Linked DNA regions of Arabidopsis thaliana. The protein of the gene in region 1 interacts with the protein of each later gene in a pairwise test. Each region holds a gene or a part of one and is shown on either strand. Other genes may lie near its edges.

Region 1 (5,255 bases):
GCTGCAGAAGAAGTAAGGAGGGTTATGCAAAGACGGAAACTGAACAAATGCTACGGATTCAGTAAAATTGAACCTGAATTACAGATTGAAGATTACCAAGGAAAATCGTGGAGTCCTATATGAAGATTCTATCTAAGCACTGTTCTCTTTCTGCATTTCAAAAGCAGCATCACTGATGCAGAATGTTCCAACAACTCAAGTAAGGAATAGTTCGTAAATATTTGCTGAACTTGATTTAGAAGATTGTTAATTTTACATGGCCACAGATTCTAATCCATGCTTTTTGTTATTGCTTGGACCTATCTCTGAGGGATGCCAGTGTGATCATTTCACGAGTATATGATGTGCTCTGCTTTGCTACGGATCCATTTCTCAAACTGATCTGAGCCTTTTCTAAGTGATGTTTTGTTGATGTGCTACTACGCTAAATATGGATCTGAAAGAGATACCATAAGTGAAGCCTGCAATTTCTGAAGCCTGAAGGTAATGTAATGTATTTTTGTGGTTTCATCAGAACCTTGAGCTCATCAGTGCTGTTTATCTCTTTCTTTCAGGAGGATATTAGCATAAACTACCATGCAGTATCTTTCTTACTGATATATTCACTATCAATATAAGTGATTATGGGATTTGAGCAACTTATTAGAGAGAAAACCAAAATCACTGCAAAACTGGAATCCAAACAGCTCACAGAGGCTTGGTGTTGAGGCTTTGCCAACGGAACTGATATACTGGATGTTCAAGAACCGACACCCAGAAGTAGCAATTTGGTTGATCAAAGCATGATGGAGGAAGAAGAGAAAGCTGAAGAAGATGTTGATGTGAATATGGAAGAAGCAGAGAATGATGTCATTGTGTTGGATTGATTGAGGAAACTCAAAACACCAAGAACAGAAACCAAAATATAGGTGATAGTTTTGATGTAGTAGATATCATAGAATTTCATTTCAAACATGGGATAGATAGAAGTATATGTATTTGAGACCATAAGAAGACAACCCTTGTAGCCTAGCACAAGTATATGCTGGCATAATGTTGTATTATATCCACAAGTTGATTATAAGTCCTAGTATGGTTTATGTAGAAGTAGAAGTATAGAAAAAGAGGCAGATCATGTGTGAACGATATAGGAAAAAATGCATCAAACATGCAACAAAGATTTAGGTGTGAACGCCAACTCCTAATCATTTCATTCATATCCAACATCTCATAAGGAAGAACACATGCAAAACAGAAACAACAAACTGCATGCTAAATAAAACAAGTTCAAAGACAAGGATCCAAGTATACCCTTACAAGAAGCAGACAGGTAACTGATAGTTAAACCATATTAAATGTCACTGCAAGTGACGTTACACATCAGATTAGATTGTTTATCCAATCAATGTCCATCATGAGGAAACTGTCCAGTTGTAAGTCTTCAACTGAGAATATTGATTCTGCAGTTGCATCGGTTGGGAGATAATATTCATCGACCATCTCTGTAATCTCAGTAGAAGCAGAAACATCAGAGGAAGCAGGAACTTCAGAGGGAACCTGGGTTGTTGCCGGGAGTGTGGTGGCATGGGAAGGTACATGCACAACTGATGAAGCATAGTTTGTTGCTATTGTCTGTATGTCGAGCTTGGACAGAGGCCGGACAGAACCTTCTGGAAGCTGCGGCTTTTTATCAGTGGGAAAATTGTAAACTCCCTTCTCACCCCTAATACAGAACAAAGCAGCATCATAGGCTCTAGCTGCCTTCTCTGGAGCATCGTATGAACCTAGCCATATTCGTCGTCCAGTCTTTGGAACTCTGATTTCAGACACCCATTTGCCCCAAGACCTCTTTCGGACACCCCTATAGCATTTAAATTTGCGATCTTCATGAGCTCCTTTGAGTGAAGAGCTAATAAAAGGAGATTTAGGAGGAGAGGGTGGCATTATATCCTAACAGAAGCAAAATTTTCAGAGTAGTGTTTTACAGTTTTATGCACAAGTACAGGGACTGTGGAAACTGAAAAGTAAGGGTATTGAAAGCAGAAAGAACTTTTGTGTTGAACTATGGAGCAAGTGGTGATGAAATGGAGAGGCACGCGATGTTTACCAACAGCACGTGGCAATGTAGAAACTGCGATTGTGCCAGCGTAGTAGAGTCCTCGAGAGTTGCATCCGCGGGGATCGACTAATAAGGTAAAAGCCAATTTATTTGTCAAGCATACGTTTCTTAAAGGAGAGGCACCGCAAAAAGAAAGTAAAAAGGAGAGGAAGAACTTACGATTTATTTAAAGTCAGATGACCGTTTTTTCCCCCAAGTTGAGACACGCGTACGAACCACCGCAGTTTCTGAAGATACCATTCGATCAATCCAAAGCTAGCAAAAGTTCTAATCTTGTTGTCCATATGTTAACCAGAAAAGCAAAGCATTAAGTTTGATCGACATCACTTGCTGGAAACATTTGGAACCGGAGCTTCTTGTCGTATTCCTGTAATCCGAGGAACCAAGCCTAACAACATTGAAATGGAAAGAATGAATCAAACTGGAGAAAAGGGAAAGAGGGGAAAGAAAGGTAAAATGGTCTGCAGATCTTCTGATATCAGAAACATTAACTAGGATCATATATTCTCAGTTACATAATTATATACTTAACTGCACAATGCACTAGAAGTCTAGAACATAATCTTGTACTACAGTTGTAGAATCTTCTATTATCACCTAGATGAACTGCAAAGGGATCATTTGATGATCGTCATACTTAGCACATGAATCTCCATCAGCAAACTGGTTAAATGTGGAAACTGCAAAGAGACAGGTACTCATCTAAGTAAATATCAGGTAGTTATGGAAATTTCTCTACAGAGCAAACGCATTTAATACAAAACATCCAGATTTGAACTCATCAGACTACTGTAATTGCTACCTTTCTCTCTTTAACGCAATGGCTTGGCCTTCAATTACAGCAAATGACTAAATGCAGCACGCACAAGAATATGCTTATTGGAAAATTTCGTATACAAACTGATTGGTATGCCTCTTCTAGGTGCTCGAAGAACGGAATCCTGTGAGTTACTATTTGGTTTCCCAGCTACTACGACTCTTCACTACCAAAGAGGCCCAAAAGTGGGAAGAATGTATTCAGAAACTAACAATGTCTTAAACCCTTCTTCCAAAACCCTTAAGTCACAAATCTTTACAGAACAAAAGAGAAGTAAATAGACCAATCTCATATAAACATCAACAAGAAGCAGACAATGTCACAAAACATCCAATAAAACCTTCTATGTAGATAAGATCATTATGTTCAAAACTTAACAAGAATGCTATAGAGATTGCAAGGATTTTGTTCTACCAATACCACCTTCCTTTTAGCACTCCAATCGTTTAAAAGACTCAGCTTACAGAATATTAGGATCTGAAACTGTTTGCTTTTCGATCTGAAGCTGGAAAGCTTCAGAGAATTCCTTTAGTAAAGACTCGTGAACTATATCGATCAACCTCAAATCATCAACCATTCCGTGTTCTCCATCTTCAAGCAAGCCCTTTATGTTTCCAACTTTCCGGTCTCTAATCCCACATGGAACTATCCAGTTGAATGGTGTTAGATCTGTAGTGACATTAAGAGCTAAACCATGATATGTTATCCATTTCGACACACGAATACCTATCGCCGCCACTTTTTGGTTGCCTATATATACCATTTGCAAACAAAAAGAAATCAATCTCGGAATATATATTAGATCACTTACAAAATCATCCATTTGAAATATGAGACATACCAACCCAAACTCCAGTTAAACCGTCAAGACGAGAAGCTTTAATGGAGAAAGTTGAGGAAAGCACACGGATGACAATCTCTTCAAGCATCCTGAGGTACCAATGAAGATCCATCTCGTGATTTCGAAGATTGATTATAGGATACATAACTAGCTACATTTTCAAACATTCCTATAATCAGCTTGAAGAGCTCATTAGAAAACACACAGAAACTTCCAATGCATTGTTGACATTATTACCTGACCAGGGCCATGGTAAGTGACTTCGCCACCACGTTCAGTTCGATAAACATTGAAAGGAGCATCCTTTATATCGAAATTGAGATAATCCTCTGTACTAGCAGTTCCCATTGTGTAAACAGGAGAGTGTTGTAACAAAATCACTGTATCAGCGCAGTCTTGGTTTCTATCAATCAATGTCTTTTTCTCCTCGACAATGCTCTTCTGCCATGACCAAGCTTTCTTGTATGGAACCAATTTGTCGTAAAGATCAAAACACAGGCACCTGCAAAATTGATAGTGATTGCACGGAAGGTGTTCGTTAAAATGCCTCAAACAGAAAATAGAGAGCACAAAAAAGGAAACTTTACTTTCTGGGGATTTCATGATTCCCGGAGTTTAAGATCTTGACAGATCTAACTAATCTGTTTCTCTTCGCGTTAGTACGATGGTGATGATGAATTCCCGAAACTAGAGTTTCTACTCCATTCAGCAACTCCATAACTCTGTACTAAAGAAGAAAGTGGAATTTACTTAAAATTTATTTCTGTAAATATACAGTCATTCAATTTTTAGCCAATCAAAAACGACGGAAACAACAATTTTGACTCTACAAAATAATATGTAAATGTAATTAATTATTTGAAACCAAAAAAGCAATCTTTATGGATAACAGATATTTTACAAGCTTAATTTGAAGAAGAAGATAACAAAACAAAAAAAAGAGCGTGGCTTTATCTATCATCTGGTATCCACTATCCACAACTGGGGTCAGCTTCTGGTTCTCTCTCTCGGTAACTTTCTGAGCTGAAGAACCCTAATTCTTATCTTCACCGGATTCCGGGTATAGGGCTTTGTAAAGTTGTTGAATTTACAAAGAAAGATATGCTGGTTTGTCTGGGTTTTGTAGAAGAATCTGTGTTGTTGCTTTGAGATTAAAGTCCGAACAATGTTGGGTTTGATTCATGTCCTTGATGAGCTCGTCAATGGTCTTATGCCACTGCTTATCATTCAGTAGTCAAAACCCAGATCCTGAATCATCATCATCTTCTCTTCTTCGTTATAAGCCTTGTGATTCGATTTCGTTGTGGGGTAAGAGAAGGAAGAAGCTTTGGAGATTTGTTCCCAGTGCGGAGAAGAATAACAGTCATACGGGTAATAATAATAAGAGGAGAAGAAGCTGGTGGCAGAGGTTTTTCTTTGATGATGATGGGAATTGGCTTGGTTTGAGAGACGACGACATTGTTGATGAGACTACTGAGCTTGCAAAGGATGATGAGATG
Region 2 (5,705 bases), on another chromosome or scaffold:
GAGCATCAGTGAAGATGCCAAAGTTGAAGATGGTTGAGTTTGTTATATCACCAGGGTCGAGAAATGGGCAAGAAGTGGTCAGGAAATTGTTGCTAACGTTACGATCGTTTTCACAGTAGAGGAATTTCATATTACAACCTTTTGTCTTCTCGCATGCCTCTTGCCAGCATCTGTCTTCTCGTTCTACTGAGATTAAGTACCATAAAGCTCCAAACACCTGAATAAGTAAGTTTAACATATAACCTTTAATATGCATTTACATGTATAAAGATTCAGTCATCAAAAGATCCGAAACTCACATGACTGGCTAACATATAGAGAGAGAGGTTCCAAGCAGCTCCAGCCCATGCTGTTTCAGTAACAATGCCAGATGTTCTTGTCACTTCAGTGTAAAGCGGATACATACGGAGAATCCGAGGAACATATTGAGCAATTATGGAAAATTTAAGGTAGTCTTTTGTTAGCAAAGAGACTGGCTGGTTGACGCTTGGAATAACGGCTAAAACTACTATCTGCAAAAGTTAAGAAGCCAGAGGATTCAAAAAGAAATGATCATTGACATTTTGAACAAGTAATCAAACTAGTCATTTACCTGTGGGAGAGGAAGGATAGAGAGTAGATCAATGATGAAGTAAGAAGAGAGATACTTTAAGGCTATTGCCTTAGCATCATCTACCAGTTCACCTCTTCCAAAAACCCGCGAAGAAGGAGCGATGTAAGCTGTCCTGAACTGAAACACAATGTGAATAATGTAAAAGGCATCGATGAGCGTACGAAGCAAACTCGCAGCTATCTCCAACTTTGAGTCCAAAGTAAGACAGTGCCTTGCGCTATCGACAATGGGAATGTAGAAAAACAATGGATCAATCGCCAAAGCAACCACACAAGCAAATAAAAATATTTTGTTCCAGTTCTGGAGAAACGAATCCTGCGGGTTTATGATGTTCTTCCGAGTAACACTAGATGTTTCCTTGTGGTCAGGATCCTTATGTGAAGGGAAACTCAATGGCTTCTTGAATCCCCATTTTACATTCTTGAAAACTCTATCTAAAGAAGGTCTAGCTTTTCTTCCATAACCATATTCAGAGGATAATGGTTTGCCTTCATCTTTGAACCTAAACAAAATCATAAGAAAATGAGATAGTAGAAAAAATCATTCAACTATGAACTGTTTTCAAGATTTTCTGTAACTACCAACCTTACACGATTATCATGGCTAAATGCCATCAGCCAAACCCTTGTATATTTCAACTGATCTTTCGCTTACAGGGTGACGAGTCCTAACATTATAATAAGAACCAAAACTTAAGACATACGAATTCTTCTACATGATTACGTACAATGATAATCCCCAATACCAATTAAAAATAAGCAAGTAGACACCTAACTACAAATACAATTGTGTTGTGTGTATGTGTTTTTAAATATTTCTTTCTTGAAAAGGTTAATTAGAGAACCTAGAATCAGTCAATTTCCACCTAACATTAGATTATACCAAATCCTGTAATTCCTACCCATTCCTGCTCAATAAATGGAAACCACACGAACAACTTAAAAACACTGTTCATCAAAGATAAGAAATCCAAATTTCAAAAAACCATTGACCATAAACGAAAGACATATATCTAAGCGTTTCGGTTCTGAGAAACAGCAAAATAAATTCAGACGAAAAAGAACAAAAACGGAAATCGGAATCAAAATTCTATCATCAAACTAACCTGAAACGAAGTAGGTAACGGCGAGATAGTAAGATTCGGCTAATAAACGGAAGTCGGTGAACGGCGTTTTCTTCAATTCAAGCAACTGGTCCCGTCGTCGCTGGAAAGAGAGAGAGACTCATATGGCGGTTACTTGTATCTCTCTCTGTATATTGTTTCCTGGAAAAGTAGTATATGAGAATTTTATTATACGACAAAAAGGGAGGGAAAGAGGAATATTATGCAATTAAATATTATAAAGTCTGTTCAATTGAAAATCATTTCATAAAACAATTTCATTCAGATGAATGACTTGGTCAAAGTCAGACGGCGAGAATAAGCAAGTTGCCAAATTTTAAGTACCGGGCCCATTATGAATATTGAGCCCATTTAGATTCATGACCCAAAATGAAGTAACCGCCCCACCATATGTTCCTTATTTCTTTTCTCTTCACACTGATTTATTTTCTGTCGGAAAATACGGACGGCGTCGTCGTTCTTTTTGACGGTGTAGCTCACCGGCGTCGATTTTTAGATTTTTTTTTAAGGTAACATATTCTTCCTTGTGTTTAATCTCCATACTTTTGATCTACTTTTCGTTCTTGTTTAGTCTTTAGTGTTGTTCGAGCTTTTGTCTCCAATTTCAATCAATTCAAAGGGTTTTTAGATTCCAAATTTTGTAGCTTCCGTTGACACATCGAGTTGTCGAACTGTGTTTCGGATTGATCTGTCTGGAGCTTCTATTTCTGCTTCCTTATCTACTGTGAATGAAATTGCCACCGATATAGATAGTTAGCTAGGGTTTATTCGTGAGCTCGCGTAGATGAATTAGGAAGAATTCAGGTGATCATTTTTATGTTGCATTGTCTATTATTGTAACTGAATCTGGAGAAATTTTGATAAAATTGTTGTTTGACTCAGTGCAAACAAATTTACAAGTTTTCAGGAAATTGACTTAATACTAATCTTGAATTTTGCAGGGAAACACTAAGCAGCAAATTACAAGTGGGTGATTTGTGTTTGTTACATAGTCTTATATCTAACTATGTCAGATTCTGGTGAGCCTAAACCTTCTCAGCAAGAAGAACCTCTACCTCAACCTGCTGCCCAAGAAACTCAGTCTCAACAAGGTTACATATACTTCCTTCTATCTCAATTCTAGTTGTCGTCTCATTGAGATTTTTTCTTGTTCTTCGTTGTTAGCTAGAAATTTTCATTTACACTAATCAAATCATTCTTCTGTTTCAGTTTGCACTTTCTTCAAGAAGCCAACGAAAAGTAAAAACATAAGAAAAAGAACCATTGACGCTGATGAAGAAGACGGAGATTCGAAAAGCGAAAGCTCTATTCTACAAAATCTAAAGAAAGTTGCAAAACCCGATAGCAAGTTATACTTTTCTTCTGGACCATCTAAGAGTTCTACTACAACGAGTGGAGCTCCTGAGAGGTCCGTCTTTCACTACGATTCATCCAAGGAAATCCAGGTTCAGAACGACAGTGGAGCAACAGCAACCCTTGAAACTGAGACCGACTTCAATCAAGACGCACGAGCTATCCGTGAGAGAGTTCTTAAAAAAGCAGACGAAGCATTGAAAGGGAATAAGAAAAAGGCTTCTGATGAGAAGCTGTACAAAGGAATTCATGGATATACAGATCACAAAGCTGGGTTTAGAAGAGAACAAACAATCTCGAGCGAGAAAGCTGGAGGCTCACACGGGCCATTAAGAGCTTCTGCTCACATAAGAGTGTCGGCTAGATTCGATTACCAGCCAGACATTTGCAAGGATTACAAAGAAACCGGATACTGTGGATATGGAGATTCGTGTAAGTTCTTGCATGACCGTGGGGATTACAAACCAGGATGGCAGATAGAGAAAGAGTGGGAAGAAGCAGAGAAAGTTAGGAAGAGAAATAAAGCTATGGGAGTTGAGGATGAAGATGATGAGGCTGACAAGGATAGCGACGAAGACGAAAATGCATTGCCCTTTGCTTGCTTCATTTGCAGGGAGCCTTTTGTTGATCCAGTTGTCACCAAATGCAAGCATTACTTCTGTGAGCATTGTGCTTTAAAGGTATGATCATCACAATTACGAGTCTGTTTTTTTTTTAGTTGTGAAGAAATGTGTGAAACTAGCGAGTTTTGTTTAATGTAATGATGCAGCATCACACGAAGAACAAGAAGTGCTTTGTGTGTAACCAACCAACAATGGGGATTTTCAATGCAGCACATGAGATCAAGAAGAGAATGGCTGAAGAACGGAGTAAAGCTGAACAAGGATTGTGAAGTCCTTGTTTCACTGGACAAAAAGGCAAAAACTATATTTGGTTATTTACTTGAGGAAAGCTTTTTGTTTTGTTGTACTCACTGGCCTATATATATTCATTCGGATGACGACGATAGTTGTTTCAAACTGATTAACTTTTAAATTTAAACAAACTGAAAATTGAATCAGAGTTTTGGAGTCAACTTCCTAGTAAATCATCGTCAGAATAATAGTCGTCAAACTCGATATCCTGATTCACATATTTTGATATAGAAATTTGCTTCCCAAATTGAAAACGCGGTCGTTTAATAAACAGGCCAAAAGTAAAGTTCCTTACCAAACTTTTTAATCTAATGGGCCCGTGCGCTAAGATACAGTTAATGGGCAACGCGAATCGGCCCATAAATAAACCACACCACAAGTAGCGGTAACAAGGTAGTTCTATGGGGTAGAAAACGCATCTGAACAGGTAATTATTTGTCCTACAAGGTTCGATCGAATGTTCTCATCTCTTTTTTTCTCTCTGGCTTTCCGATCTTCTAGATTTTCCAAGTCTTGAATGATGAGGAAGGCGAAGGCTGTGGCCTGTGGGTGAGGTCGTGCCAAAGTCTAAGGCTGTAACACGCGTCTGGTGGGACATCAACAGGTGTCCGGTTCCGGCTGACGTTGATGTTCGCAGGGTCGGTCCGTGTATAAAACGGGCTTTGGAGAAATTAGGCTACTCTGGTCCTCTCACCATCACTGCCGTTGGGATACTAACAGACGTCCCTCATGACTTCCTCAGACAAGTCCATTCCTCTGGAATCGCTCTTCATCACGTTCCCACCGGTTTATATCTTCTCATCCTTCATTTTCTAAAATTAGGGTTTTGCTTCTATTTGCCCTTTTTGTTTTTGTTTTTAAGTCTTATAGTTTCCGAAACAGCTCTCTCAGGGATTGGGTGGGCTGTGGTTAAGTGGACCTGGTATAATCAACCTCCGGCTAATTTAATGCTCATATCGTACGAGCATATCTACTTGACCACTCTTGACATGCTAGGTAGGATCGGATACAACACTGTTCGGTCTATTCTTCCAGATGATCCTCAACAAGCCGCATCCTCCGCCTCCCCTTCTACAGGGTCTTTCCTCTGGGAAAGCTTACTGGCAAGCTTACCAGCAGCAGGTCCTTGTCCTCTCTCTCTCTCTCTCACACTCAGTACAGTGTTGAAATAGTTAAGCTGTGTCTGACCTAGTTATCTCCACGGACGCAGATGATATGGATTCAGGGGCACCTCAGGAGGACAAGTGCGGCGAGATGGGTGAACCTGCCTTGCTTTGTGAGCAATGCAGATTTACTGTCCAAGGCTTTGAAAACTTCTCCACGCATCTCAAGAGTGAAGAACATGCACATGAAGTAAGCATCCTAGCCAAAAACGCAGACTTGTTGTGTCCATTTGAGTCAACAACCTCTTACCGCGAGTTTCCCTTTCTCACTTAATTCTTCCAGTTATGTTTTGCCTAAATTTGACCCCATATTTTGTTTTGTCAATGAGCAGTCTCAATACTACCGTAACGAAGATGATGAAACCGATGGAGACGACTACGTACGAGACTCTGAAGACGACGAAGAAGAGTAGTAAGAGTTGTGTGTGTGTTAATGTTATCTTAAGCTATCTAATCCTTTTTATGTTCAACATCTTCTAAATCCTCGTAAACTCTGGTTTTCTTTGTGTGTTAACTGATAATAATGGTGTTATCTTAAG
Region 3 (5,962 bases), on another chromosome or scaffold:
CAATACTTAATTGGTAAAAGGTGATGCTCGTTTTGTGTAGTTTTGTATTGGCAATGGGCGAGAATTACAATTTTATATGACGCTTTTGATTATATATATCGCCATACTGAAAAACCAAAATATGACATTGAACTTTTTTTTGTTGATTAAAATCTGATGTTGACAAAATAAACATAAATGCTCAAAAAACATATTCATTAGTCTAGGATTCTCTTGATGTTTTAATGCAGATTGTAATATGTAGAGGTCTTGAGTAGCAATGGTTGGTTGAGAGCATTTTCATTTCGTTCTCTCAAAATAATTCTTGGAAATAGGATGTTTGGTTTGGTTTGGTTTGATTCTAGTTTTATTGGGTTTAATTGTTTTTAACTTTTCTCTATTTTTATCTCAATACTCTATTTTTACTTTAATTTCACTTCAACATATCTCTATTTTTATCTCTAAAATAGAGATGGGTTAGAGATACTATTATGGGTTTACTCTCCTATCGCTCGATCTCCTCTATCTCATAGTACTACTTTGCTTCATTTTTATAGAGTTTGGGAAAATCTTGTGTTTACGCCGGTGTATATTTGTAATCTATCAAATATCCTACCATTGATAATTTTATATAAAATTCACATGATAGAAAAAAACCAAGAAAGAAACGAAAAAACATACACATTGGCAAAATGACACCAATATAGCAACCGTAATGTATGATTAGACAATTTTAGGATCCTAAAGAGAGTCCATCGATTGTGATAATAGTTATGTATCATTATCATTCGAAAATCTTAATAAACTATAGTGGACCAATACAAGCACGAAGATTAAACCTCCTCCATTCAATTTCGTATTCGTTCATACTCAAAATTTAAGAAAATAACAAAAAAATGACGACCATCGGATTCAATCTTAGCTATTCATTGAAACGACGACGAAACGAGGAAAAGGAAACTTATGATGGGACAATCAATACGCTGTCGTTTAAAAAACAATAATTATCACGAAACCTATGAAGAAAAACAGATCAAAATAGAGAAATATTGAAATTCGTGCGTTGAGAGAAAAACGTTGAACGATGGGAGCCGGTAATGGAGAAACGCCAAAACCTACACAGATTTCAATTTCTAAAGATCAATTCCTCGCTTGGAAACGCCAAAAGGTATCTCTCTATCTCTTTCTCCTTTACATGTTGATTCCTAGTGAATATATCGATTTGAAGAACCCTAGATTTGATATCTCTACTCAAACGCATAATCTTTAGGAAGCCCTCGTTGTTTATTTTCATGTAATGAATCTTACATAAAGTTAATCAAAAGAATCATCATTATTGATTAACCTAAGTTTGTTGTTTACTTGTAAGGATGCTGAGTTATTAGCCAAACAAGCTGAAGCAGCAAGGAAACGACAAGAGGACATAGCTTCAGGTCGTGTTCCAATGAATGGTCGTGAGCTTTTCTTGCATGAGCCTTGGGTTTTCGACGATACTCATCATTGATTCTGGTCTATTCACTACTTCTTCATAGGTAACAGAGATCATTCGACTCTCATTAGTACTGCTACTTGCATCTGAGTTTATGAATTGGGACAATGGATCTGCAGATTGTGTGTGATCTGATGAAACCATTGTTGTGTTTTTTTGTTTCATCTCAAGAAACTAGCTAAAGAGATCTGTTACTGCATTATCTATTGATGTTGTCTATTTATGTGTGTTTCAGGTGATTTAAGACATTTCCTCGATGATTTGTGATCCAACTCTGTTTCTCTTTTGTTGTTGTACTCTCATGTTCCCACTTTTGTCTCAAGTGTTAAATCAGAAATTTAGTCCTCAGTAATTGTGACTTAATCGTTGGCTCTGATTATTTGGAAATTTGGTGGTTGAATGTTACATCCCTCAATGTTTGATATATATTCAAAGGCAAACAAAAGTCGAGACATTAACTGAAATTGTGTTAATGGGACATTTTTAGTGAAGATAGTTCATAGAGTCGACGAAAAAGACAACAAACTCTGCGCTATGATGTATCATGAGGACTATTTAGCTATCAAACTCATAAAAGTTAGCGTCTTTGATGCTTAAACAGCATATGAGTATCTCGTAATCTCATCACCGTTTATCCAAAGATTTTGATGAAAAAAGAAGAGCAAACTTAAGAAATCTCCAAAACGATATACAACGAAACGAGGCTAGAGAAGGAATATAGTCAAAAATTCTAATTTTAGTTCCTATTAACTCGCCTAATTATAAGCAGTTTTCTTCATCCTCCTTCCGTATATATTAACAAAATTATTTTCAAACAAGGATTTTTTGGATTGAAGTTTTGTAGATTACTGATCAGCATTATTATATCAACTTACGATTTGGATGAATCAAAATCTCTTCCTGCTTCGCCAATATGGGTCGGGTGAAATTAGAAATCAAGAGAATAGAGAACACAACGAATCGACAAGTTACGTTTTCAAAACGTAGAAATGGTTTGATTAAGAAAGCTTATGAATTGTCGATTCTTTGTGATATCGACATTGCTCTTATCATGTTCTCTCCTTCTGATCGCCTTAGCCTTTTCTCCGGAAAAACTCGGTATTACATCATTTAATTTACCCCTTTTTCATTAACATTTTCCATTGCTAGCTTTCTAGGTTTTGGACCATATCATATCTTAGTTCTCTGTCTCTTTAGGATTGAAGACGTTTTTTCAAGATTCATCAATCTTCCTAAACAAGAACGAGAGAGGTACGCTAAAAACTACTTTCTTTTCCAAGTTTTATAAATTACTACATTTTTAGTAAATTTTGACTTTGGTTATTTGATTTGTTTTCTTTCAGTGCTCTATACTTTCCTGACCAGAATAGACGCCCGTATGTATATCAGTTTTTCTTTTGTTACATTACACTTGATCATATGGGTATAATAAATTTTTCATGACCCTCTCTTTTCTTTTTTGGTTTGTTTGCAGAGATATTCAAAACAAAGAGGTTAGTTCTAATCATAGTGATTAGTTTGTTCCTCATTATGTTGTTTCCTTAAAGTCAAGAATAATGTTGTTGTTATGTGAAAGTGTCTACTAAGGATTCTGCAGCAACTCAAGACTGAAAATGACATCGCTCTTCAAGTCACGAAGTCCGTAAATTCCTTCGGTTTGTCGTTATAATTGATTTTATAATTTTCATATGTTTACCAAGATACACTCCTTCAAAACACATTTAAACTATACACTAAACTTTTTTTTTCTTTCATATAATTATTTTGAAAAAGCCCTGCAGCTATCAACTCTGACGTCGAGGTAATTAATCGTTATTCCATCAATTAATTAGAAGACATAGATATATTTCTAAATGTCTCGCTTGAAATCGGAAATCTAGGAACTTGAGCATGAAGTTTGTAGGTTACAACAACAACTCCAAATGGCAGAAGAAGAACTAAGGTTTTTACTCGAAAAATAAATGTTATATGTTATAGTTTATAATTTTTTTAACTCAAATCATGATTGCTTACTATATAATATGAGCAGGAGATACGAACCGGATCCAATAAGATTCACGACCATGGAGGAATACGAAGTTTCTGAGAAGCAACTTCTCGACACTCTAACACATGTTGTCCAACGGCGAGACCATCTCATGAGCAACCATTTATCTTCGTATGAAGCATCTACTATGCAACCAAACATTGGTGGTCCTTTTGTAAATGACGTCGTTGAAGGTTGGCTACCTGAAAATGGGACCAATCAAACCCATTTGTTTGATGCATCGGCCCATTCTAACCAACTCAGGTACTATAATTGTTTTTTTTTCTTTGATCAAGAAGATTTGTAAACTTTTCACATTTTTTTATAATCTTGATCAAGAAAATTCAGTAAATTTTTACTTTAAAGAAATGTAAAATTGGCAGAGAATTATCATCGGCAATGTATGAACCATTGTTGCAAGGAAGTAGCTCAAGCTCGAACCAAAACAACATGAGTGAATGCCACGTGACGAACCACAATGGTGAAATGTTCCCTGAGTGGGCTCAGGCGTATTCATCCTCGGCCTTATTCGCTTCTATGCAGCAACAGGTTTTTTTTGGTCTTTTTTTTTGTCTTTAATAACTTAAGTTAAAAATGTTGACTTTTTTGGTCAATGTGCCAGCATGAAGGTGTGGGTCCCAGTATAGAAGAGATGATGCCAGCTCAGCAGAGTGATATTCCGGGAGTGACGGCGGAGACACAAGTTGATCATGAAGTCTCCGACTATGAAACAAAGGTTCCTCAACTCAGTAGCCAATAATGTATTATTTATTTATGTATACCATTTTTAAAAATTTATTCATATTTTTTTCCAACAACCCATAAAAAAGTGAACTTTTTTTTGCCATGAGAAGACGATGAAGAGTCGTGTTATTTTTGTATACTATTCTTTTTGGCAACACCATTTTATAGTTTTATGGGCGAAAAGCAAATCAAGTTTTATCTTCTTTAATTTTCACAAAAAAAAAGAAATCTTATCTTCATTATGTTATTCTTATATGTGTTCTGTTTCTTTTTTTTTTCAAAATTACACTGCCATAGAAGTTATAGTCAGGAGAAGACAACAAAAAAGAAAAATCTGACACATAAATAACCTTTTACTACACAATTTGTTGTTAATTTGTAACGGAAAATTTTATCTTCTCAGTTTATACTAAAAACATGGCTACAGTAAAATCTCTTTAAATTAATAATATTGAGACAAAAAAAATTACTAATTTAGAGAGATATTATTTATCGATAAATTAATAAAATTGTACAAATTTTGGAAATTCTTACAATAATTCAATATAAGATGTAGTTTTTTTCTTTATAATCGATAGTATTTATGAAACCAATTACAAGTATAAAACAATTATTAAGTTTAAAAAATAATACAAATTTTTTTTGATGTTGTAAAATACTAGAATTGAATACTACAAAAAATTAATAAAATTGAAGAAAAACATTAATAGAATCATATTTTACATATGATATTTATAATAAATATTTGTAAATTTATACAATTATTAATTTATACTATTGATAGGACCATATATTTATATAAAATTTTCAAAAAAATTATTATCTTATTAATTTATCAATTTGTATCAATTTTTACATTGGTCCCAACTCTATACCGGAAAAATTTATTAATTTATCGAATAATAATTTATAGAGGTTTTACTGTATTTCGTTTCCACTTGTGTAGTTAAGACAAAAAAAAAAGAAAGAAAAACTGAATAGATATTTCTCATCAGATTTAGATTTTCTTCCTTAATTGTCTATTATCTTCCTTAATAGTCTTTTTCTATTAAGAAATAATCTTAAGATTTTTTTCCTTCCCCTGTAATCTATCCATTATAATTTTCTAAAACCGACAATATTCTATAATTTTGTTGTTGACTTGGCAGAATCTGGCAAATTTGGATTTTTGGTTGGTCTCCATATTTGCAGATTCTGTGTTGTGTCTTTGTAGATCCCATATTTCAAAAGTCAAAGAAAAATGCTTATTTTGGACCAATCTTTGCCTGGGTTACCAAAATTATAAAATTTTGCACAATATTTTATAAAATCGTTAATTTAAAGAATTTATAAAAATTTCAAGTTTATGATGTCTGAAATATAACTTCATATTTCTAAAATTTCACCAAATCTCATGAACTTTTAGAATATTGAATTAAAGTTTTCAGAAGTTTTTTTTTTTGGGGCAAATAAGTGTTGAGAAGCTAGCAATTTTGTTTTTAAAGTTAAATCTTCATCCTATGAACTTAGCAATGTCAATATTAAGATAATCTTCCATCTGTTTATTTACGAATGGATACATTTATCTTAATTTATAAAACTAAGATATACAATATATACTTTCACAAAAAGTTATATATAATGTCCTAACAATTGAGGAAAGAAATCTAACACTAATATTATTGGGATTTCAAATCAAGATTTTTTCCAATAAATGTAAAACCAAATAATTTTATAAGGGGATT

Evidence for each region. The genes of interacting proteins can lie anywhere in the genome.
Region 2: the proteins of AT4G31060 (region 1) and AT1G01350 interact in a two-hybrid assay, tested with the Arabidopsis thaliana proteins (one large-scale study listed by BioGRID).
Region 3: the proteins of AT4G31060 (region 1) and AGL104 interact in a two-hybrid assay, tested with the Arabidopsis thaliana proteins (one large-scale study listed by BioGRID).

What each region holds. Positions count from the first base shown.
Region 1 is NC_003075.7:15,113,564-15,118,818, reverse strand, and holds AT4G31060 (Integrase-type DNA-binding superfamily protein), read right to left. Parts: upstream 2,672-5,255; 5' UTR 2,631-2,671; intron 2,487-2,630; 5' UTR 2,258-2,486; intron 2,165-2,257; 5' UTR 1,924-2,164; coding exon 1,360-1,923; 3' UTR 1,063-1,359; downstream 1-1,062. Other genes in the region: AT4G31070 (PPR superfamily protein), read left to right, coding at 1-123; AT4G31073 (uncharacterized protein), read left to right, coding at 257-335, 647-786; AT4G31050 (Biotin/lipoate A/B protein ligase family), read right to left, coding at 3,376-3,665, 3,757-3,907, 3,994-4,258, 4,344-4,474; AT4G31040 (CemA-like proton extrusion protein-like protein), read left to right, coding at 4,938-5,255.
Region 2 is NC_003070.9:133,990-139,694, forward strand, and holds AT1G01350 (Zinc finger (CCCH-type/C3HC4-type RING finger) family protein), read left to right. Parts: upstream 1-2,100; 5' UTR 2,101-2,245; intron 2,246-2,677; 5' UTR 2,678-2,742; coding exon 2,743-2,827; intron 2,828-2,945; coding exon 2,946-3,769; intron 3,770-3,858; coding exon 3,859-3,981; 3' UTR 3,982-4,173; downstream 4,174-5,705. Other genes in the region: CNGC10 (cyclic nucleotide gated channel 10), read right to left, coding at 1-217, 300-512, 593-1,115, 1,199-1,227; AT1G01355 (Putative endonuclease or glycosyl hydrolase), read left to right, coding at 4,524-4,552, 4,608-4,789, 4,874-5,125, 5,214-5,356, 5,499-5,579.
Region 3 is NC_003070.9:7,810,679-7,816,640, reverse strand, and holds AGL104 (AGAMOUS-like 104), read left to right. Parts: upstream 1-2,295; 5' UTR 2,296-2,381; coding exon 2,382-2,566; intron 2,567-2,665; coding exon 2,666-2,719; intron 2,720-2,811; coding exon 2,812-2,844; intron 2,845-2,942; coding exon 2,943-2,961; intron 2,962-3,044; coding exon 3,045-3,106; intron 3,107-3,241; coding exon 3,242-3,269; intron 3,270-3,348; coding exon 3,349-3,410; intron 3,411-3,497; coding exon 3,498-3,758; intron 3,759-3,877; coding exon 3,878-4,043; intron 4,044-4,116; coding exon 4,117-4,254; 3' UTR 4,255-4,430; downstream 4,431-5,962. Other genes in the region: AT1G22140 (zinc finger CCCH domain protein), read left to right, coding at 1,064-1,147, 1,349-1,483. UniProt on the Arabidopsis thaliana protein: Probable transcription factor that forms heterodimers with the MADS-box proteins AGL30 and AGL65 and is involved in the regulation of pollen maturation at the late stages of pollen development and pollen tube growth.